Linked DNA regions of Alligator mississippiensis. The protein of the gene in region 1 purifies or fractionates together with the protein of each later gene. This does not show direct contact. Links are inferred from orthologs where the notes say so. Each region holds a gene or a part of one and is shown in the gene's direction. Other genes may lie near its edges.

Region 1 (7,302 bases):
GCCCATGGGCGGGATGTTGACACGGCAGCCGGTCTCAGTGGGTGGCTCTGGCAGCTCCTACATCTACGGCTACGTTGATGCCAACTACCAGCCGGGCATGAGCAAGGAGGAGTGCCTGCGCTTCGTTGCTAATGGTAACACCCCCCAGGATCCAGGCATCTGGGATCTAGTTTGGGGCCAGGTGGTAGGCAGACCCAGGCATCCAGGGAGGTGTTGGAAGGGCACTGCCTTGAGTTGGGGAGAGGGGAACTCAGGGGTCCAGGGTGGTTATAGGGGAAAATTGGAGAGGGTGTTGGGACCCAGGCTTCTGGGGCAGCGGGTGGAGGTGGGGTACTAGGGCAGGCTGGATGGTCCTGGGGGGGGTATGGGATGGGATCCAGGTAAGGCAGGAGAGGTGGGGAAGATTGTGGGGAAGAACCTGGAAGCTGGGTGGCTGTTAGAGGTTCTTGGGGGTGGGGTTGCAGTGGATCTAGCGGTTCAGGTGCTGACTGCCCTCCCTCTCACAGCACTGGCGCTGGCCATGGAGCGGGACGGCTCGAGTGGCGGTGTGGTGCGGCTGGCAGCCATCACCGAGCGTGGGGTCGAGCGCCAGGTGCTGCAGGGGGACAAGCTCCCACGCTTCTCATCTGCTTGAGACCAGCGCCCCCCGGGGGCCCAATAAACTGCTCTTGGAACCTTTCCATGGCTGTATCTGCGTGCTCTGTGCTGGGAGCCTGGATGCCTGCGTTCTCTGGCTATGGGAAGGGGTGGGGGGGCTCTCTTAGCTGGGCTGGTGCCCCTCACTCCTGCCCTGTAGGGCCTGCCTTTTTCACCACATGGTCAAGCTCTGTCCCCCTTGAAACTAAGGAGGGAAATACCTCCCTTATGTCCTCCCCTTGTATGCATGCAATTGCAGCTGTCCTGTGCTGCCCCTGGCACATGTGCAGTAATGTCCAGCTCCTTGGCAGCTGTGTGGTGCCTACGCTGCCTGGTTGAGCTGCTTCCAGAGTGTGATGTGGCTCCATGGTTACTGCTGCCTTGGCCTAGCCCAGCCACAGATGGGAGTGTTTCCAGGGGAATTGTCCCATGCACCCAAGAAATAAGCCAGAAACAGCAAACCCCATGCAGCAGTGATGTCACTAGGCAATTTCAGTGGAGATCCTTAGGACCACAAACCCGTGCTCAATGCTAGATGGCAAGGCAGGGGCAGGGGCCTGTGGGGCAGGAGTGAGGAGCACTGACAGGGGCTGCAGGTCAGGAGTGGGGCACCCACCTCTGCCCCCTTCCCCCAGCATTGAGCTGAATGTGCTACCTCTGGTGCTCTCAGCCCATCTCTTCACCACTACTTTCTGGAGTTCAATGCCAGCAACTTTGTGGCCGGCTGGGATCCATACCAGGGTGGACAGGTAAGATCCTGGCTGCCCCGCCCCCCCCCCCTCCTGCCTTCCCAGAGCTGCTGTGCCTAGCCTGAGACCCACCCCAGAGCCAGCTGCCTGGGACAGCCCCCAGCCCCTGCCGCATGGAGCTGAGATAACATCCCCCCCCTGCCCCTCCTAGGTGTACCTGGTGTGGGGCAGAATGCTGCTCTGGTAGCCAGTCTCAGTCTCTGGGAATATTGATACCAACTACTAGCTGGGCATGAGCCAGGATGAGTGCCTACACTATGTTAGCAATGGTAAACCCCACTCCCCTCCAGCAGCCAGGAGCTGGTTTAGGCACCCTGTGGGGAGATGCAGGGGGCCAGGAAGGTGGGGGGGGGGGGGTTAACCTAAGAGCCTAGGGCAGGAGGGTTGGGGCAGTGCCAGCTACAGGGGGGACCTGGGGGTGTTGGGGGCATCCAGGGCAGTGCAGGAGTAGGGAGAGACTGTTGAAGGGGGCTGAGGGAGAACCTTGGAGTCTAGGGCATTGGGGAAAGGGGCGGGGTGGGGGGGCTGGTGTGGATCTGGGTGTGCAGGATTGGACTGGTGGGAGGCATTTGTGGGGGTGGGGGGAGTTCTAGGGGGAAGAATGCAGGAGTCTGGGGAGGCAGGGGCTGCAGTGGACCCAGGCATCTGGGTGTTGAGCCGCCTCCTCCCAAGCTGACAGGACATAGAGCAGGGTGGCTGGAGTGATGGCGAGGTGCACCTGGCCGCCATCATGGAGCATGGGGTCGAGGGCCAGGGGCTGTAGGCAGACCAGCTCCCACACCCCTGAGAGCTCCCCCATCTCTAATCCAGGTCATGAGCCCCTGGAGATGCAATAAACTGCTCTTGGGACCATCTGCACCCATGTCTGTGCCCTCTGTGCTAGGCCCTGGCCACCTGGGTTCCCCAGCTGTGGAAAGGTGGGGTGGGAAATCTCCTGGCCCAGCCAATGCCCTTCACTCCTGCCTGGCAGCCCCCTGCCCCTCCAGCCTTGCTGGTACCTCTCACTCCCAACCTGCAGCTCCTAGCAATACAGACCAGATGCCATTTGATCACCGCAGAGTTGTTTATTGAGGCATTTGGATGTGGGGGGGTTGGGATGCGATCCCTCCCCCATGCCATCGGATCCTAGAGCAGCAGGGCTGGGAGGGGCCTCAGGGGTGGGGGGGGTGGGCTCTGCTTGGTTCCCCCCCATGGTTCCCAGCAGGCGATCGGACCCCTTCCTGCTTGGTCCAAGCCAGTCCTGGGGCCTGGGGTTGTCCCGCGTGGGATGCAGGACCCTGCCCTCATCTCCAGGACACTTCCCCTACTCCAGTCCTCCCATGGCTGGCGGTCTCTGGATCCGTGCCCCCCCCAGCTCGGTGTCATTGCTGAGGGGCTGTGGGTGCCCTGCACCTCCTCTCTCACCAGGGCGGGGGGCTCCAGTGCTGCGGGGATTGCGGATTTGTCCATGTCAGCCGGCCACTTCGAGAGGGGCATCCAGCTGGTGGCGGAAGGACACACGTGCCTTGCCGCTGAAGTAGGCCCGGGGGGTTCCTGGCTCTGGATCCGGCCCTGGTGGGCTGGGGGGGTCCTGGGGCTGCATTGTACCTGGGTGGGGAGAGAGAGCAATAGGGGATCACAGCAGAGTATGGGGATCCCTCGCCTGTCTCAGAGAGTCATGGGTTAGAGCTGGAGGAGGGGGTGTGCATGGGGGGGGGTGTCTCACCTGGGCTCCGGCTCCGGGTCCGGGAGCAGAGGAAGCAGCGCAGCAGCCGAGCCCGGATCCGACCCTGGGAGAGGGCGGGGGGGTCACTGGGGCTGGGTGGAGCTGTCTACCCACTCTGTGTTTTGCCAGCCTGGCGCCTGGACCCATAATTATAGGGCTATGCCTGGGCGCCAGACAGGATGGGGGGGTAACCTCCCTCCGCACTTGTTTTTGGGAGCAGCCTGCGACCAGGTGTCCCCAGCTGGGGCCCCCCCCAGACCCTGCAGGGACCCCAGGCGTCTGGATGCAGAGGGTGCGGGGGACGCAGGTGTCTGCCCTGCCAGACTGAGCAAACCTGGGGACCCCACAGACCAGGGCAGCTGTGGAGGACCCCCCACCTCAACATGGAGGGACCTGGGGGTCCTGCCCAGGGGATCCACGCGTCTGCTCGCCAGGGCCCCACAGGCAGGAGACCCAAGTGCCCTGGAGCCCCCTCACCTGCTGGGCTTCCCCGGTCGGGGGGTCCCTGCGCCCCCCCATGGCTGCCCCGATCCGGCTGCCCTGGTACTAGACATGGCCCCGCCCCTTGGATACGCCCCCGGGACACACCCACGAGTCGGGAGTGGGCACCGCAGGGTGGGGGTCACTTGCCACGGGAAATAAGGGGGGGGAGGGAGGGGCATGCCCCCCTCCTTAAGGCCACATCCCCAACAAGCCTCGCCCATTACAGACCACGCCCTCTCAGTTCTAGTTGTCCGAGGCAAGCCCCGCCCCCAAGAATTGAAAACAAGGCGGGAAGCACCTCTCTCGCCACCTCCCTGTGCTCATTCGCAGTCACAGCCGCCTTTCGCTCTCCCCACGCCTCTCACTCGGTCTCCAACGCATGCGCAGCAGTCCGGCTCCTCAGCGCCGGCGCGGAGCTAGGGCTGCCCACCTTCCTCTCCAGCGCAGGAGCGCATGCGCATTGCTCACTGTTTCGTGAGGTCCTCCCACCCACTGACGAAGGGTTTTTGAACCCGAAAGCTTGCTTAATAAATATTCTCCAACTATTTGGGTTGGTTTAATAAAAAATATCAAATTCACCCAAAGAACCTTGTCTGCCTACGTCCTTAAACCAACACGGCTACAACCTAAACCCCTCCTACTCACTTTTACACGCATGCTCACAACAGGGATTCGCCCCCTGCTCCCGGGCCAGCTACGCATGCGTACCAAGGTAATCGTGCCCTTTACTGCACATATGCTTCCTGGTAATTCCTTCACACTGCGCCTGCGCCAAGACTGGCGCAGGCGCAGTTCGGTGCTGCTGCCCGGGCGGCGCATGCGCAGTTCGGTGCTGGCAGTCGGTGCGCGGAGCCGCGGCCGCCGGGGGCCGGTGCCCGTGCCCGGTGCCGCCCCTGCCCCTGCCGCCCCCAGCATGGCGGACCCCGCCCCCGCCCGCAGCCTGGACGACATCGACCTCTCCGCCCTGCGGGTAAGGGTAGGGGTCAAAGGTCGCCGGGGGGTTGTCAGAGCGGGGTCAGAAGTCACGCCTGTCCGGGCCCTGGGCAGGCGGCGGGGTTTAAAGGTCAAGGGCGGCTGAGGGGAGGGGACAGGAGGTCAAAGGGGTCCGGGGGCAGGACATGGGGTCTGCGCCAGGGGAGGGGGTTGAAGGGTTAGGGTAGTCCCCTATTATGGGCTGGGGTCAAAGGTCAGGGCTGGGGTCGGAGATCCACGTATCTCTCCCTTCAGACAGGTCACCGAGGGGTGCGATACCTCGGGGGAGCCGGCGGGTTTCCCGGTCCCCCTCCCCCCCCCCCCCCCCCCCCGAGTCCCTGCATTGCACCCAGTACTGCCCCCGGTCACGAGGAACCCCTTGCCCCAACACCCCCTCCCCCTATGCAGCTCCTGGCCAGATCTGGCATTGCTCCCAGGTGCGGCTGTGCCATGCCGTGGGCCTGCCCCAGCCTGCCTGCATGGGGGGGTGGTGGGGCGGACTCCTGGGCTCCCCAGGTCCCCCCTCCCCCGCAACCCACATGTGTCAGGAGCTGTACACCCCCCCGCCCCGATGACCCCATTCCAGCCCCCACTGGGATCCTCTGCCGGAGCCAAACCAGGCCAAGGAGAGTGGGGGGGGCTTCACTGGCTCCCTTCCCCCGCCCTGAGGCAGGCCCTGCCCCTGGAAGGGGGTGGGGGCAGTCTGCTGGTTTCCCCACCCTGTGACTGCCCCCCCTCTCCCCCCCAGGACCCTGCTGGGATTTTCGAGTTGGTAGAAGTCGTCGGCAATGGGACCTACGGGCAGGTCTATAAGGTGAGACCCTCCCACCAATTTAAATGCCTCAGTCCATCCTCCCCCCCCCGCCTGCAGACCCAGAAGCCTGAGTCCCTTCGGCCTCTCCAGGCCCCTCATGACTGTAGCTGCCCCTCACGGTCCTTGTCACGTGGCTCCCACGGTGTGTGCTGCAGGCTACGGGAGCAGGGCAAGAGGGGACGGGAGCCTAGGTTCTCTGGGAGGGGACAGGAGCCTGGTGGGGAGGGGCTGCACACCCAATGCCTGGGCTCCCCACCGAGAGCCAGTGGTGGGGGATGGCCATGGAGCTGGGGTTCCTGGGAGGGAAGTGGGGTCAGGTGGCCCACTGCCTTCCCCCATCTGATGCCCTCACCCCCTAGGGCCGCCATGTCAAGACAGGGCAGCTGGCAGCCATCAAGGTCATGGATGTTACTGAGGTACGAAAAGGGGGCTGCGGGTCGGGAGTGAGGGGCACCGGCAGGGCTGGATGGACAGGGGCTGCGGGTCGGGAGCTGACCCCCTGGCCCCCCAGGACGAGGAAGAAGAGATCAAGCAGGAGATCAACATGCTGAAGAAGTACTCGCACCACCGCAACATTGCCACCTACTATGGGGCCTTTGTCAAGAAGAGCCCCCCAGGGCATGATGACCAGCTCTGGGTGAGGGCGGGTCCTAAGGGTCTGTTCAGATTGGGCCTGGGGGGAACGGGGGTTGCTCTGAGCCCCTTGAGGGGAAGAGAGGGGGCCAAAGAGGAGCTTGGACCTCCCACAGCTGGGGAGGTGGGGGGTCGAGGGGATGCTCAGGGGATCCTAGGGTGCCCCCAGTCTGTGACCGACACCCCTCCCCCTGTGCCCCCTCCAGCTGGTGATGGAGTTCTGCGGCGCTGGATCTGTGACTGACCTGGTGAAGGGCTCCAAGGGCCACGCGCTGCGTGAGGACGTCATCGCCTATGTCTGCCGCGAGATCCTGCGGGTGTGTGGGCCCCCCCAGACACCGGGGTTCCCCTGGGGCCCAGATGCCTGGGTTCTACTGGGCAGGGGGAGTGACTGGAAGCCCAGATGCCTGACTTGCCCAGGAGAGGCTGGGAGTGGCAGGGACCACAGCAAAGCCTGGATGCCTGGGACTGTCCTCACTTTGGGCGGGGAAAGGGGTCTTGGTGCCCAGATACCTGGTTTCTTTGGTCCTATTGGGCCTCTGGGGGGACAAGGGATTTCTGGACATCTGGGTCCCTGGCTGATTTCCTTCCCCCCACACTCCTGTAGGGCTTGGCCCATCTGCACGCGCACAAGGTGATTCATCGTGACATCAAGGGGCAAAATGTGCTGCTCACCGAAAACGCTGAGGTCAAGCTGGGTACGGCCCAGATGCCTAGGTTCCCTTCCCCCAGACACCTGGGTCCTGTCCTGTCCTGGCCCCCAGATGCCTGGCTCCTCCCCTGACCCACCCCCCAGATACCTGGGCCACTTCTCTCCCAGATGTCTGCATCTTCTCCTGTCTTGAGCCCTGGGCACCTGGGTCCCTTCCTTGGCTCAGATGAGGGCTTCTCTGGGGGGAAGGGCCAGGGGCGGGGGTAGGGCTGGGGGCGGGACCTGACTGCCGTCCCTGCCTCCCCCCAGTTGACTTCGGGGTCAGTGCACAGCTGGATCGCACAGTGGGCCGGCGCAACACCTTCATTGGCACGCCCTATTGGATGGCGCCCGAGGTTATTGCCTGTGACGACGACCCCCATGCCACCTACGACTGCCGGGTGTGTCCCCGGATGCCTGGGTTTCCCCGGGTCCCCCCACCTCTCCCTGGGGCCCCCAGATGCCTGGATTCCTCCAGGACTCTCCCACCCCTCCCTGGAGGCTGGGATCCAGCCCCAGATACTTGTGTTCCACCTCGACCCCATTTGTGGGGTGCTCAGGCACTGAGTCCCTCCCGCCCCTGGTCCATTGAGCCATCAGATGCCTTAGAACCCAGGGC
Region 2 (7,720 bases), on another chromosome or scaffold:
GAATGCTTAAGGGGCATGGGGGGAACTTATACTACAGCCACCTTTTCCTGTGTCTTTACTCCTTAGCTTTGAGAAGCCAATATAAGTAACACACAAGTCCATATATGAAGTATGTCAGGCAGTAAATGGGTGTTTTGACTGGTGAAATTACCCACCACCAATCTTTCCCAATTACCCAATGCACACTGAACTAAACATGTTCAGTCAGTAAGAATTCAAGAGGGTCTGCAAAACTTTGTTCCCTGATGGGTTTATTTCAGAAGAGAATGACTCTCCTTCATGTCACCATCCAAGTCCAAACCTCCAGCTGAAAAACTCTAATGAGTCAACAGTATTTATTATCCACCACAATCTGCATTTGTTTGCCATGCCTTATTTCAACTAGATTGTAAGGCCTTCATGGCATTTCCTATTGTGTTCCCGTATAGCACCTAAGTCAAACAAGTCTTTAAGCAGCAGTGTAACATAAGGAGTATGAAAAGCTGCTAAAATCCGGAAAGACAAGGTTCTTTAGGTAAACGTGATCTTATTAGACCACTAAATAGTTGGAAAAATTATTCTTCACAACCAATTATTTAGTTGGTCTAAAAAAAGATTATCACATTTACCTAAAGAACCTTGTCTGTCTATGCCTTTAGACCAACACGTCTACAGCCAACAACTCTACAGCATCTAGAAAGATTTTCTTCATTTCTTCTAGAAGTTGACTGCTTAATTCTCTGATGAATTTGAAACGGAAGATGAAAAAGGGCTGACACTTCTGCCAAAGCCTCATGTAAGAGGAACCACTATTGCAATGCATGTGTCACCTGACTGCTGAGAATTTAGTCACGTACATTTTAAATCACCACTGCAACAGCTTTCTGTCACTTGCGATAGATAAGGCGTTCAGCATTGTTTATCTGCATTTTTATATCAAAACGTTCACAGAACACATTGACAGCACAGGACAGAGTCTAGACAGCAAGCAGGTAACAAGGCTGATAAAAGGCTTAGAAAGCAAGTCACATGAGGAGAGGCTAGAGCTGGGCATGTTCAGTTTGTGGAAAAGGAGACATGACAGCAGCCTTCAAATAATCGAAGGACTGCCATAAAGAGGGAAAGCTTCTTTTTTCTCTTGTTGTAGAGAGGAGGGTGCAGACCCATGGCTTGAAGTTGCAGCAAAGTCAGTTTAGATTGGATCTCAGGATCTCACCACTACGCTGGGAAGGAGAGGATTACTGGAGGGTTCAAGGAAAGGCTGGATGTGCACTGGGTGGGAAGGATCTAGGTGCAGCGATGCCCGTGCTCTGCTGTGGGGGTGCTCCGGGCTGCGGGGCTTTGCTGGTTGCTCCCCCCCTCCCAAACTTTCTGCTGCATGTGTCAGTGGGTTTTTAAGCCTCCCTTCGTGGCACTGGGTGTTGGCTGCAACCCAGGCTGGAGATGGGGATTGGGCTGTGCCAGTGCACTTGCTAGGACTTCAAGCCTGACGTTCCCGCTTCCTGTCTCTCTCCCCCTCTCAGAGTCAGACCAACATCATATCTGGGGTGAACCTTCCTCTGTAGCAGGGGGATATGGTCTTCTTTCTGGGATCTCTTGAGCATATATTAATAACCTTTATAGAAGCAGGCTGCTAGCTGTCATAGTCCCCTTGCTTCACCCATGGCAGGTTTGGGTGTGACGCCTGGTGTTATGTCAGGGGTGACAATAGTTTTACAAAGAGTTTAGATCATGACTTGTACAGGATGGTTGGGATAGGGATGATCCTGCCTCAGGAAGTGGGTTGGACTAGATGACCTGGGAAGGCCCCTTCCAGTCCTACTTCTGCCCTCTATGATTTCTACAACAAGAAATTTAATCTTCCCATCAATTAAGCTAAAAATCTCTGCCAGCAGTGCAGTAGCTTGCTGCGCATCTAGGAAAACAGATGCAACAGGTACTTCCTGAACCAGTAAATCCTCCCAGTCCCTTCTAGGTACCACCACTGCCCAAGACTCATGAGGTCAGAAGGACCTTACCAAGTACACAGTAATACTTAAGGGAAGAACCACGCAGAATTACACTTTATCTTACATGGGTCCAGTCCATTACAGCAATTCCCAAGAGCTTTTAATGCTCTTTCCTTCAATTCTTTGTCTGTTTGGGATTTTTAGACAGTACGGGTTCTAAAGAGCTTACAATCTCCTCACGTAAGCTGGACAAAATGTACGTAGGGCACCACTGCATTAAAAATAATAAATTAAGAGAAACAAAAGGCAAATGAAAGGAGGAAAAATAAGGTTGACTATTGGAAGAGATTTCTCGACAGCAAGCACTCTCAAATCTCCAGAGAGAGATGGTGCAAGTCACACTGCTTGAAGCATTTAAAACTTAGTCAGGCCAACACTTTGAAGATGAGCCTCACATCAGTAAGCAGAAAGACTACCAGTAGATCCACACTGGAATTTTTCAGCATTTCAACTGGGAAAAGCACCAGAGTAGAAAAGGCCCCGAGGTCCCAGTAGACTTTCATCTCGATTGTGTAAGTGTATCAGGTGAAAGGGTTTGGATTTCCAACAAGCTGAGAGGCCAGGTGCTACACAGCTCTGTCTTCTTTTCGTGGTTTCTAGGTCTCATTTCTTCCCAATTAATGGTGCGCTCCCTGCCTGGTGTGGCAGTTCACCTACCAGAACACCTGAATAATTTACAGCAGGGTTAGACAAAAGGATTAGTGTGCTGGAAACGAGGAACAAGAAACAGTCTCAGAGGGAAGTCTGTGTGACACTTAATAGTCTCAGAGAGGACAGCTGGTCACAAAAGGGCACAATCTATGCACAACTCAGACAAAAAGCCTCGATAGTTGGTGTACCTGAAATGTCTTTGGAATTCCTCCAACATTGTAGTGAACCACTAGACTCACTTTGTTGTCCTTCTCCACTATTTCAAAGCTTCCTTCTTTCCATTTTGTAATCCCAGTCTGCATACTACGCATCCGGACGGGGCCGTGTACCTTCAGCGGAGCCATGTTGTCTTGCTATTAAACTTACAAGAGATTGCGTTGGCTCCACCTTGAAACCTGTCCAAGAGAGACGTACAATTGGCAAATAAAAATAGCTGTGGAAAGTGTAAAAAACATTTCTGGGAGGTACAGCAACAAACCGATTTCATGTTATTACCTCCAGATGCCTGCTGGACCAAAAAAACCCCAATTTTCAGAGCATTAATTATTTTACCCTCTGAAGATAAGCTGCACCAAAGGGTGTTGAATAGACACCAAAAAAAAATAACCTTGAAAAACCTCCGTGAAAACCCTACAGATTTTCCAAACAAGCCCGATTTTGGCTGAGACCAAATACGTCAAAAGAAAGTTTTCAAGGAAATCTATACCTGCAACTTCTGCAAAGTCCTGGTGAATTTACACAAGAAGCATTTTTTAGGGAGCACCTAACCTCTTTAAAAGACAAAAGTCACGCCGTCATCTACTCGTATTATCGTGACCCCGATCTCCTCTACCGGCTAACCCGCGCTGCGATCGGGATGACACCCAGCACCGCGGGATCCCCAGTGACGCAGGCGAGGAACAGAACGTGAAGAACGACGTCATTGTGCCGACAGTCCGTGACCTCACAGAGGGATGACCCGGACTGACCCGGCCCCGCGCTCGCTCCTGCCCAGGGCGCGGGCTCGGACTCGATGGTGTACTGGGGTCCCGTCCGACCCTAACAACTATGAAACCACGGAGAAAAAAGGGAACCGCTTCCCAAGGGAACCCACACGTAACCCCAAACGCAACCCGTACGATGCTATTCTGCGTTAAAACCCGAGCACGCCGACGGTGCCGTGACGCCAGGACGGCCGATCGGTTTAACGGAGCCGCCGGGCTCCAGAAACGTTTTATAAACGAGGGGGACCCTTTCGCTCTTGCTCATCGGTAGCGACCGACTCGCCTCGACGCCCTCGCAACGTGCCCGGTCCCGAACGCCGTCCGCCGCGGCTGCCCGGGAACAAGACACCATTGTTTAGCCGGTGTTAAAGGGGAGGGAGGGGGGCACGCACCCTCCCGCATTAAAGGGGAAAGGATGCTCTTGTATTAAAGGGGAGGGGGGCTGCACCCTCCCGCATTAAAGGGGAGGGGTGCACCCCCTCCAGCATTAAAGGGGGAAGGACCCTCTTGTATTAAAGGGGAGGGGGGTTGCACGCCCTCCAGCATTAAAGGGGAGGGGGTTGGGGGGCGCACTGTCCCCTAGCAAGCGTGGTGGCCGGCGGGGCGGGGCCGGGGTACGAGGGCCGCGGCCGGGCGGCGGTGAGGGAGCAGAAAGCGGAGCGGCAGACCGGGCAGGGAGCAGAGCAGTGAAGTGGGCAGGGGAAGGGGATCGGAGTGGCAGTCAGGGCGGATGAGGCCCATTTTAGAGGCGGGAGCACTGAGGCACGCAACAGGCAGGGCCTGCGTGTCCGTCCCCGAACGCACCGCCGCGGCCCCGTGTTTGCTGCTCCTCCCCGCAGGTCTGGGGGGGGGGACTCCCCACACCGGGGGGGCAGCTCCCCCCCGGGAGACACCCCGCTCCGTACCTGCGCGCGGCGGCGGCTCCTGAGGGGGCGGGGGGAGGGCTGAAGGCAAATGGCGGGAACCAGGCGACAGCGTGAGGCCGCACGCACGGCGTGCCGACGTCACCGCGCCGCCCCCAGCATGCCCCACGCGCGCTCACGCGCGCTGCCGCCGCCCGCCAGCCCCGCGCATGCGCATGGGGAGGGGTCAGAGGGCGCCGCGGGGGGAGGGCAGCGCGGCGCCATGGCGGCCTCCTGAGCGCGGCCCGAGCCCCGGCGGCGCCGCCATGCACAGCCTGGCCACGGCCGCGGTGAGCCCGCGCCGCCCTGCCCCGCGGGGGACCTCGCTGTCCTAGTACCGGGCGGGCGGGCGGGCCATGGTATTTTTTGTGGGGGCTGGCCGTAGTATTGGCGGGAGGACCTAGCAGCACTGTGGGGGGGTGGTCCATGGTGTTTTGGGGGGAGGGGGTCTGTCTGTGGTGTTTGGGGGGGTGGACCTGTAGTTTTGGGGGGAGGGGGGGCTGCCCGTGGTGTTTGGGGGGGCGGTCCCATAGTTTTGGGGGGAGGGGGGTCTGTCTGTGGTGTTTGGGGGGGCGGTTCTGTAGTTTTGGGGGGGAGGGGAGCTGTCTGTGGTGTTTGGGGGGCAGTCCTGTAGTTTTGGGGGGGGCTGGCCATGGTGTTTGGGGGCTGTCCCTTAGTTTTGAGGGGAGGGGGGGCTGGCCATGGTGTTTTGGGGGGAGGGGGGGCTGGCCATGGTGTTTGGGGGGCCATTCCCATAGTTTTGGGGGGGTGGTTGAGTCCACCTCCCTGCCTGAAGCAGGACCAGCCCTGTGCAAACCAGCCCAGACAAAGCGTCACCGAAAGTGTGTGTGAAACTCGTTGCAGTGCCAGGCCTCGCGGCCAGCCCTGCTCCGGGCAGAGCCGTGGGACCGCGGCTGCTGACCTCCTGCTCCTTTAACGGGTTGTTAACGTGCTCGGGAGATGCTGGGTGGAAGCCGTGCCCCCCCCCACCCCCCCGGTCTGTATTTAGAGGTGAGCGGCAGGCGGTTGCAGAGACGATGCCCTGTTGCGTCCGATGCTGCTTCCTCAAAGGCGTTGATCGGTCGCTGCGTACGAGACCCGCTGCCTTTTTGGATCAGTTTGTCTCTAAAGCAGCGATTCGGAGCCAGGTGCCGCAGCTCCTGGAGATCCTTTCGGGCCACGCAGCATTAGCGCTGTTTGGTGCGTGATCCTGATTCTCGAGATGAACCTGGAGATTTCAAAGAGGAATTCGTAGGCTTACAGCTACTCTGACGGACCTGCCGCGGGCTTTCTTTGCAGCCACAGAACCGCTCTGCTCTCTCTCTCTAGTCATAAATAGTGAGAAATAAGAGCTGGCATTTCCCAAGCATTTAAAAGGGTGAGACCTCCCCACCTTGCCCTGTCTTTTGCAGTACTGTTAGCAAGCACAGTGTCAATTATAGCAACTTTCACATCTTCCATATGTGTTAGAATATCACATTCAGATGGGATTTGCTGCTGTGGGTGTCAGTCAGTTGCTGAGCTAAATATTTAGGCTCAAAAGTGATGTTTGGTAGAGGACAAAACAGAAGTTTGGAGTTTAGTGCTCAGAACCATTGGCTGCAATCCCTACCGTGCTTTTCATCATATACGAGGGGCTGGTGGAGCTTCTTATTCTGTTTTCTAGTCTTCCCTCTGATGCAAAATCACTTTAAAGCAGCATTGATTAAAAAAAAACAAGCCAAAAACCCGCCTCTGGCTGCTACGAGGAGAGCAGGATATTGCAGTAGTTGATTTTAAATATTTGTAGTGGACGTGTGCTCTGGTCACAGCACCTGACAGAATTGTGTCCTCTTGAAGAGCTGCGCTGAAGGTACTCTAATACTGTACGTATATTGTATACTGTATATAGTATGCCTATATATCTGCTTTGGTTAGTCTGTGTGGTGCAAATTTACCCTTCTACTTGACTTTAGACCGACACGGGTAGCTACACCTTGATATTTTAATACTTTCAAGGGTACAGAGGCATAAATGGAGCCTAATTACACCCATCTCTGGAGGGAGCTAGTGGCTGCAACACATCCTGCTCTCCTCGAGGAAGGCCCTGGCTTAGTCCAGTGGGACTAAAGCGGGACAGTCTTATTTTAGGTTGAAAGAGCATTGCCTTTAGAAAGCTGCAGTAAGACAGTCCTGGCCTTTTATGTAGTGCCAGCATTTCGCTTTGAAAACTGAAAATAGCATAGCTCAGTACTGGGGGAGGTGTAGGGGGAGTAGAGATGAAAACAGCTAGCAAAGGGAAGCTTGAAGTAAAAGTAGGGGGTGTGAAAGCACCAAGCAAGCAGACCCAGGTTATTAACTAGAGAGATCGTTCTGGGGTTCTTGTGTTAATTATCTCACCAAAAATAGCTAGGACACAATATTGCCTGGCGGTGTGCCTTTCTCTAAGTGGTCAGTATTTTTAACTTGGATGTTTAGAAAGAGCTGCCTTTTTTATTTTCCCCTTAATTTCTTTTTTTCTTGTGGTTCCTAATTGTCTAAATGAATTTGTGTAACTCTCAGAGTTGTGGCTTGGCCCAAAAACCGGGGGAACACCTTTATTACTGCAAAAAGCGTCATGAGGCCTTTAACGCTCCAGAAGTGATCAGTCCTGGGTGTGGTAATGGATGTCCCAACTCTTGCATACTAAAGGTGCAACAGCAATCAGTCTGGGAAGATCCTAGATGCTCATCTGAATATTTGTGTGGAGTATTTGCATCTAACAATTGAAGTCCTCCCTGAATTTTAGGTAGAGAGTAGAAAAAATGTCTGGTAGTCTGGAAAGCAGCAGTTTGGGAATGTAAGAAATAACATTTCCTCGAGACTTTTAATTGAGTGTTTCAGGGACCGGTTAAATACGATGGGAGGCTGTAAAGCTCATGGAGACCAATTTGCTTCTAATTAACCAAGGTAGTGGACACCATGAACTTAATTGCCTGGAGAATGTATTTAGTATTCTCTGGAGATCTCTGGCCCAGGCTTACACTTCAAAAATTCAGCTTGAACTGAAACTTCCAGCAGGTCTGGCACAATTGGGCTGCACATTTGAGCTCAGCTAAAGGGCTTGCCGCTCAGTCATTCAAACCAAACTCTGCGGTGTTTGTAAGCCTCATTACTGGAGGTGCTAAGAGGATTAGTCTCCCAGCTCTTAACACAGAATGAATGTGTCACTATTCAC
Region 3 (8,028 bases), on another chromosome or scaffold:
ACAGGGGTCATGCTTGGTCCAGTACTTCTCAACATCTTTATCAGTGATTTGGATGTGGGGGTAAAGAGCTCACTGGCCAAGTTCATGGATGACACCAAGTTATGGGGAAGCATGGTCACACTATAGATACAGGCAGAGCTAGACAGGCTAGCAAGTTGGGCAAGTCAGAACCAGATAAAGTTCAACACTGAGAAATGTAAAGTGGTCATCTGGGGATGAACAACCCCTTACAGACCTACAGGCTTGGCAGCGCCCAACTGACCAGAGCTATGAACGAAAGGGACCTGGGGGTAATAATAGATCACAGTAAGAATGAGCCGGCAGTGTGATGCTATAGCCAGCATGGCAAATAATACTCTGGAATGCATCAATCGAACTGAGTAGAGTGGGGAAGTGATTTTCCTGCTCTACTCAGCATTGGTGAGACTGCAGCTGGAGTACTGTGTCCAGTTCTGGGTGACACACATCAACAAGGATGTGGGAAAGCTTGAGAGAGTCCAAAGAGCCACTTATATGATCAGAGACTTGCACAGCAAGCCATACGAGGAAAGGCTGAGGGACCTGCGACTCTTTAGCCTGAAAAAGAGAAGGCTGAGAGGGGCTTGGTAGCAGCTTACTGCTACATCAGGGGAATACATCAAGGGCTCGGTGAACAACTGTTCACCAGGGCACCCTTGGGGAAAACCAGGAGTAATGGCCACAAACTCCTGGAAGATCCATTTCAGGCTCAACATTAGGAAAACTGTGGAATAAGCTCCCTCCAGAGGTGGTGCAATCAACTACACTGGAAATCTTCAAGAGGAGACTGGACAGTCACCTTGCTGGGGTCACCTGACCCCAGCTGTCTTTCCTGCCTGGTGCAGGGGGCTGGACCCAATGATCTTCTAAGGTCCCTTTCAGCCTTACAAACTATGAGCCAGAACCAGAGCTAGGAGCCAGAACATAGGTGCCTCCCTGAACCAGGAAGCCTCTCTCCATGCTAACATCAAAACCAAGTTCAATGTAAGACAGCACATATTTGGTGGCAGCATTTGTGATGTCCCACCTTTTACATAATACTATCGACAGGTTAGTACACTTGCTCAGGAAGGAGATCTGAGTTTTAGGCATTTTCAGCCTAAGGTTACTCTGGGCAGGGCGGGCCCTCTATGGGAAGCTGGACTACTGGATAGCCCAGAACACAAAATTCAAGGAGCCAGAAAGAGCAAGTAGATAAATGCCTCAGCAGCCCAGTGTGGTGGAGACTCCTCTGGGTGTGGGGAACATGTGGTACCAGGATCAGTCATGCCTCTTATATCAGACATTTATTAGTTTAAAAATAGTAATAATCCTGGAAGTGTGTTTAGCAAGCTCCACAAACACATAACACATCAGAACATTAGGCAGACCATCAGCGTTGCCCAGCACCACTGAGACTGCAATGGAGCACAGGTGAAACTTCAGTGTGATCTAGATGGTTTCTGAGACTGTCACAAGCTTAAACCAGACACCTAAGGATTCTCCTTGAGCAAAATGGAAGGACCTAATTTTTTGTGTGCCTTAAGTCAGTGCTTGTCAAAGTGGTGGTCTGCGGACCAGTGCTGGTTCGCGAGCCACCGGTCGGCTGGTCCGCAGCGAGTTGCCGGGAAAGAAAGAAATATATTTTCAGAAGCATAACATTGATATGTCATAGCGCCACAGTTCGTACGTTCCAACATTGCAGGTGACATCATGTCGTGCGAGGCGAGGAAAGAGAAAGCAACAGCCGGTCACACGTTTGTGTAGTGCTGTTACATGCAGTTGCTGCCACCGGCTGAACCAGGCACCGGTCCCTGGCCCACTGGAAAAAAAATTGCCGGTCCACCACATCAGATAGTTTGAGAAGCACTGCCTTAAGTTATTTTGTGGCTGCCAGAGCAAGGTCACTGTTTGTGAGTTAGAAGCCTAAGTTTTGCCTAAATCCCCTGTAGTTATCTAAAAAAAAAAAATTTTGCATCTCACTTCAACTGATTTGTGATTCCCAAGTCCCTAAATTTTGTTGGCTTTCCATATGTCACTTAGACATATACGGTTTTGGAGCGAGGGCTGTGTTTTTATTATCTACTGGGTGCATCTACACGCGCACTTTACTGCGGAGTTCACTAATTAGCTGCAAGTAAAGTGTCACCGTCTATATGTGTCCTGGTATTAGGGCACAGTAAATTAACTCTGCTGTAAGAGAACTGTCAGGGATAGAACTTTCTTACAGCAGAGTATTTAACTGCGATCAAATGCTCATGTGGATGGTTACAACTGGGTGCAAATTGCGCCTGGTCAGCCCAGCCAGCCAGGGGCCAGACCCCTGTGCTGCCCGCCACTGCCAGCCGGATCCCTGGGCTGCTCCACCCTAGCTTTAATTGCTGGAGAGATATGTGTAAATGCCATGCCCTGGAGCAGTTAACTCCAGTACAAACTGCTCTGGAGTTTATTGTGTCACTGTAATAGCATGTCCACATACACCCACTTTATATATAGGTTGACATGTGATGCACATGAGAGTAGCAAGAAATGGAGCAAAAGTGAAGCGAAAAAAAACACTAAGTAGCTGAAAGGTAAGGAAGAGTGGCTGGGCAGGAATAGGTGAAGGGCACAAAAAGGTGAATCTATTATAAAGCCAAAAGCTAGTGGGTGATAAGGTAAGAGCAAGTGTTTTAGGTACAAATGATTCATCATTAGGTACAAATGATTATGAATTCCTTGTACACCAGACATGTGGCTATGATCCTATTGCCAAATCAAAGGAAGGTGTGCAGCAAAGGAAGAGATTCTATATGTCAAGAACCTCCTTTATTTCTGCTAGTCTTGATTCTGAGCAGGGACAAGGCCTGTTGGTTTTTAGAGATCTTTAAGCCATTCATCTAGAACTATTAAAGTTGATTAGTACTCCTAATCATTTGTAGTAAAAACAATGCCCTGACCTCCTGTTATGTGAACTGCATTAGTTCTGATGGTGAAGTAACTTCTTTCATGGGACCTGAGGTAGAAAAAACAGCTTCAACTCAAGGGCTAGGAATTTGACCAAAAAAGAAAGAAAGAAAAAAAAAATCAAAGCCTTCACTAATCTAAGGAAGTTAGGGAGGAAGGAAAGAGCAAAACATCTCTCCCAATTCCTTTTAATTGTCAAGGAATACTATATGCTTATAGACTGAAAAAAGCATGGAAATTCCATGGGGAATTATAATTTTACCAGATATAATCTTTCCTGTTTTTCACTGGATACTAATATAAGCAGTGAAAATTGTTAGGAATTTTACTGCCCTCAATGTGATTCAGTTGTTAACCATAATTCTTTTAAATGCCTGTGTTAATACATTTTTTATGAGGACTTGCACGTAAGTACTACAGAATGGTTTATGATGAGTTGTAGAAAGAGAGCATATGCATACCAGAGCTCAATACAGTAACTTTCAAACAGAAAGAAAAGGGAAAATTGAGTAAAAGGAAGTTGACTGAATTAGCTGAATGTCTGATGAGGAACAGCTAGTCAGCAGAGAATGGAGGGTCAGGTTTGTCATGGACTAATGCAATGAGGAAGGTTTTAAGGAAAATCTTTAAAAAGTAACTCAGTAGCTGAGAAGGAGGAAGTTACAAGCGAGAACATAGTCATGAATGAGAGATGCCTATCCTGAAGGAGCAGAGGAGGTAGTCATTAGAGTGGATCCATAGGATTAAAAACCATGTATGGTACATGAATTTGTCCATGCTTGAGCAACTGATACAATTTCTGATTCACCTAGTAAAAGAACCTGTTTAAGAAACTGTTATTAAAGATATGTTTGTGGGAAAGATGAAACCACACCCTCTTTCATTTAATTATGGGTGACAATTTTTTTCAAGCAGGAGGTGATAGCTGAAATTAATTTGTCTTTATATGCCTGTCATTACTGCTGAAATTGAGGGCAATGAATCTGTGACAGTCTGACCTGATTTAGACTGAAGATAGCATACATCTCATAAGTAATAAGGAAGAAAACTGGAATTTGCTACCAGTTTCGCAGGGAAACCAATCAAAGCATGGTGATAAATATTTGCAAGACTTTCTCCCTGGGGAAAGGACCCCGGATTAAGGAAAGATTACAAAATAATGAAGGAGAGGTTTTTAAATTACTTCTTGGGGGAAAAAAAGAATAGTCCTTTGTTAATAAGGGCAATACTTAAAAAAAAAAATGTTTTTCCATGTCCTTTTTTTGTCCTGGCAGATCTACAACCAGCATTGGAGTTGCGTGGTGCTTTGATTTCTCTGGCAAGTCAGTCATTTGCTTGAAAAACTGCCCACATTTTTCAAAACGAAATACAAATAAAAAATATAACCTGCCATGATCACACATGAAAAATTTGTAATCGAGCTAATCTTTATAACTAATAAAGAGATCTTCCATCTTTATTTTATAAAAAGATATATGAATCTATCTATAGATCTTGATGACAGATAACACAATCTCTTTATAGAAAACTTGACTCGTGGACAGAGGTATATTAGACCAACAAGATTTTTGCCAGAAAAAATTCTTTAGATAACTTGATGTCTTTTATCTATGTTCCTGTACAGGTACAGACGTATACCCCCCAAATCGCGGCGCAGGTGGGTACACGAGGCAGGTTTAGACGCGCACACTCGGGGCTGCTCTGGTTCAGAAAGAAACGACGCGGGACTGGCCGTTAGGCACCGCTCACACGTGGGGCCTTTCCCAGCCCCCGCACGCAGCCGGGGAAGCGCAGCGCTGGGGCGGCCCCAGCGGAAGCATCCGAGGAATGCGGCTGCCGGGGGGGGGAGGGGCGGCCGCTCCGCCCCCGCACGCCAGGCCCCTGCCCTAGAGACCACGGCCAGCGGCCCGCGCCCCCACCGGGCCGCTCAGCTGCGCATGCGCAGTCCGGCGCGCGCGGAGGGGGTGGTTTCCCGGCGTGCCCCGCGCGCCCGTCCCCCCCCCCCCCCTTCCGCAGTGGGCGGCTAGTCAGGCCGAGGGCTCGCGGCTGTAATGGCGGCCGGCGGCAGCGGCGGCTCGGCGCGGCTCTGACACTCGCACCCCGCTCGGCGCCGCCTCCCCCTGCTGCCCCAGCCCGGCCCGGCCCACCCCGCCCCCGCCCGCAGCGGCCGCCCCCCACCAGCCAGCCCCGCCCCGCCCCGCCCCGCCCGCCGGACCCGAAGGAGGAGGAGGCTCCCCGCAGACAATGGACGAGCACCCCGGCGCCGGCGGCGGGATGGCGGCCGTTCCGAGGCCGCAGCCGCCGCCGCAGCAGCCGCCCGCGGGCAGCGCGAGCCTGGCGGCCGGCGGGGGCTGTGCCGGGGGAGGGCAGGCGGGCGCGGCGCCGGCGCCGGCGGGGCAGGAGGCGGCGGGCGGCGCAGAGCTGTCGCGGCCGCAGCACTACACCATCCCCGGCATCCTGCACTACATCCAGCACGAGTGGGCGCGCTTCGAGATGGAGCGCGCGCACTGGGAGGTGGAGCGGGCCGAGCTGCAGGTACGCGGGGAGAGGCGCGGCGCGGTGCGGTACCGTACCTGGTGGCGCGTCCGGCCCGGCTCCTCACGGCCTGCGCGGGGCTGCTGTGCCCGGGACAGCCATTTTGGTTGCTAGCATGGCGCCCGCCTGGGCTGCCGGCTCGCAGCCCGCGCCCCGCCTGCAGGCCCGGGCAGCGCCCCCGCCTCCCGCGCCCTGACAGCTGCGGGCCTCGCCCCGAGCACAATGACGCGGGGGCTCTGGGGGCCGCGGCAGGGAGACTTCCCCTCCTTCCGCAAGGAAGGGGGAGTCCCCGGGACGGCGGCTGCCCCCGGGCGGGGGCGAGGCGAGGGGGCTTTCACCCCCCGGGGTCGCCTCCGGCCCGTTGTCAGCAGCTGGCCCATGGCACCGGGCCTTGTGAAGCCCCCGAGTCTGGTTCCAGCAGAGGGAGGCGGTTTCTCATCTTTCCTTGGAGTGAGGGGAAGGAATTACCTTCCTCATGACTTGGGCATGTGGAAATAGCGCTGCTGTTTGCTGTCCGAGATCCCAGTCTGGTCCTGGAGGGGGTGGGCAGATTTGGACTCCCTTTTATAAGTGCATAGAAAAGCATTTTAGTTATGGGGAAAATATGGAGAGAGCAGCGTGTCCCAGTGAAATAGTTTTCTCTTTGTAGTGAAACCGGCTTAAGGGATCTGCTGTGTATAATTGTACCTGGATGTATTTATGGCTTGCAGCAGTAGGTCAGAAATTTGCTGTTTTAAGAAAAACCCAACCCCACCCCCTTCCAATTAGAGCATATTGCAACACTGTTTGATTGTGATTTATAAAGCATTTAAATTTCAAAGCAGCAGCTCCTGTCACCAGATTTCTCAGCTCTAGTATAATGGGTGCATCATGTACTTAGTACTCTTGATTCAGTATCACTGGAGTAATAATAAAAACAGCACCCCACTGCCCAGTTATAACAAAGACTGTAAGTGAAGTAAATTTTGGGACCCAGTTGCTTCTGGAGCTAGTTTGGTCAGCGTTAACTCAGTTCTTGAAGTAGGACTAACTTGGGACAGTGGCAGGGCACTTAACTGTGCGTCTTGTTTCCTGTGTTTCAGCAGTGCTAATACTGTATTTCAATACAATAACTTACTGCAAACATGATCAGACTGAAAACTTGTGGCTATTGACTCTTATGATTGACTTCTAGAGCTTGGTTGGTTTGTGTTACAGAAATTACATATATTTTGTTGAAGGGGGGGGTTATATTTATAAACCACTATTTTAACATTATAGTGGGGCTCATGTCATAATATATGGTAAAGATCCAGTTTTTGCTGTAAATAGCAACAGTTTCTCTTTTTTTGGTCCCTAATTGTGCAGACCCTTTTGACCTTTCAGGCTTATGAGGTTACTCACCTACATAAAATTAAGCCACCCGCAATAGTCCTTGAAAGATTGAGGTCTTGTATTTAATACTGACACATGAATATTAGGTTCTTAGCCACTCTTGATTGTGTGGTTCCCTTCTTCTGACATTTCAGTTTATTCTACAGACACTTTTTCAGTTATTACAGATTCTTTCTGATTTCAATTAACTCGCTATCCATGTTTCTTTGAAAATGACACTTCGTAGAAATAAATGAAAAACAAGTACTGTTGTGAGATCAGAGCATCTTACTGACCTGTGTAGGGGAGTCAATTTATTGCTGTCATCTTTTCTTTCTAAGAATGCAGGCATTTTCTTACTCCCAGAATGAAACTAATGAGTTCTTTTCATTTTCCTCTGTACAAATAAAAGTGCATGGATGGGGGATGCTTTGCAAATGACAGAGAATGTGGAGATATACTGGTAAATGGAGAGGTGGCTACCTGTAATAACCCACTCCTTTTTGTTACTATACTATATATTTATCTGGCCTATTTGATCTGATGGACACTGGAATGAAAGATTTAATTAAAAAAAAATTGTTTCCAGTGCTTACTTATGTTTGGTGTTGCAGTCTTTTGGTCACCAAGTGCTGTTACACTCCCTTTACCTTAAGCAGTATTAGAGGACTGAGATGCAAGAATAACTTCAGTTAATGGTTAAGTCTGCATCTGAATGATGGATATATGGATGTATAATTTCATGTAACAGTGTGTGGTTGCACATGCATTTATCATACTTATATATGTAGAACAGTTGATTAGACACACAAATGTTAAAATAAGTGGTAAAGTAGTACTAGAGTAAAGTACAGTAAATCTTTCTCACCTTTATAATGCTGAATAACACTGAAATTTCCTTAACTACTGATAGTTACTGTTACTATATTAGGACCATTTTATTTTCTCAGGGTGTAAACCTTCTTGTGCATTCAAGTGGCTATAGACTGTAAACTGAAGAAAGCACATTGCTGCAAGTGTAACCATATTACATAATTACAAATACAGTCATGAGACAATTTTGGGACAGAATTCAGTCCCTTTTGGCCAACTGCAATGTTGATGGATTATGATGGGACTTTGTATCCAGCCCTTGATTATGGGCTGTAGCACATTTAAAATGAGGAATTTGTGCCACTGCAACTTTTCCTTCTATTT

What was found. Proteins that work in one complex are often made in the same cells at the same time.
Region 2: the proteins of MINK1 (region 1) and CNOT9 purify together in Homo sapiens (affinity purification with mass spectrometry; 3 studies listed by BioGRID and IntAct, with this or other methods). This does not show direct contact. The link is inferred for Alligator mississippiensis from reciprocal best matches to the Homo sapiens genes MINK1 and CNOT9.
Region 3: the proteins of MINK1 (region 1) and STRN3 purify together in Homo sapiens (affinity purification with mass spectrometry; 3 studies listed by BioGRID and IntAct, with this or other methods). This does not show direct contact. The link is inferred for Alligator mississippiensis from reciprocal best matches to the Homo sapiens genes MINK1 and STRN3.

Annotation. Positions count from the first base shown.
Region 1 is NC_081838.1:23,812,090-23,819,391, reverse strand, and holds the start of MINK1 (misshapen-like kinase 1), read left to right. Parts: upstream 1-4,273; coding exon 4,274-4,543; intron 4,544-5,293; coding exon 5,294-5,359; intron 5,360-5,718; coding exon 5,719-5,775; intron 5,776-5,870; coding exon 5,871-5,996; intron 5,997-6,198; coding exon 6,199-6,309; intron 6,310-6,599; coding exon 6,600-6,690; intron 6,691-6,953; coding exon 6,954-7,084; intron 7,085-7,302. Other genes in the region: PSMB6 (proteasome subunit beta type-6), read left to right, coding at 1-134, 507-634; uncharacterized protein C17orf114-like, read right to left, coding at 2,836-2,972, 3,091-3,154, 3,568-3,609. UniProt on the Homo sapiens protein: Serine/threonine kinase which acts as a negative regulator of Ras-related Rap2-mediated signal transduction to control neuronal structure and AMPA receptor trafficking.
Region 2 is NC_081827.1:253,766,522-253,774,241, forward strand, and holds the start of CNOT9 (CCR4-NOT transcription complex subunit 9), read left to right. Parts: upstream 1-4,704; 5' UTR 4,705-4,790; coding exon 4,791-4,814; intron 4,815-7,720. Other genes in the region: USP37 (ubiquitin carboxyl-terminal hydrolase 37), read right to left, coding at 2,828-2,983. UniProt on the Homo sapiens protein: Component of the CCR4-NOT complex which is one of the major cellular mRNA deadenylases and is linked to various cellular processes including bulk mRNA degradation, miRNA-mediated repression, translational repression during translational initiation and general transcription regulation.
Region 3 is NC_081825.1:253,306,560-253,314,587, reverse strand, and holds the start of STRN3 (striatin-3), read left to right. Parts: upstream 1-5,012; 5' UTR 5,013-5,187; coding exon 5,188-5,478; intron 5,479-5,516; exon of another isoform or gene 5,517-5,638; intron 5,639-8,028. UniProt on the Homo sapiens protein: Calmodulin-binding scaffolding protein which is the center of the striatin-interacting phosphatase and kinase (STRIPAK) complexes.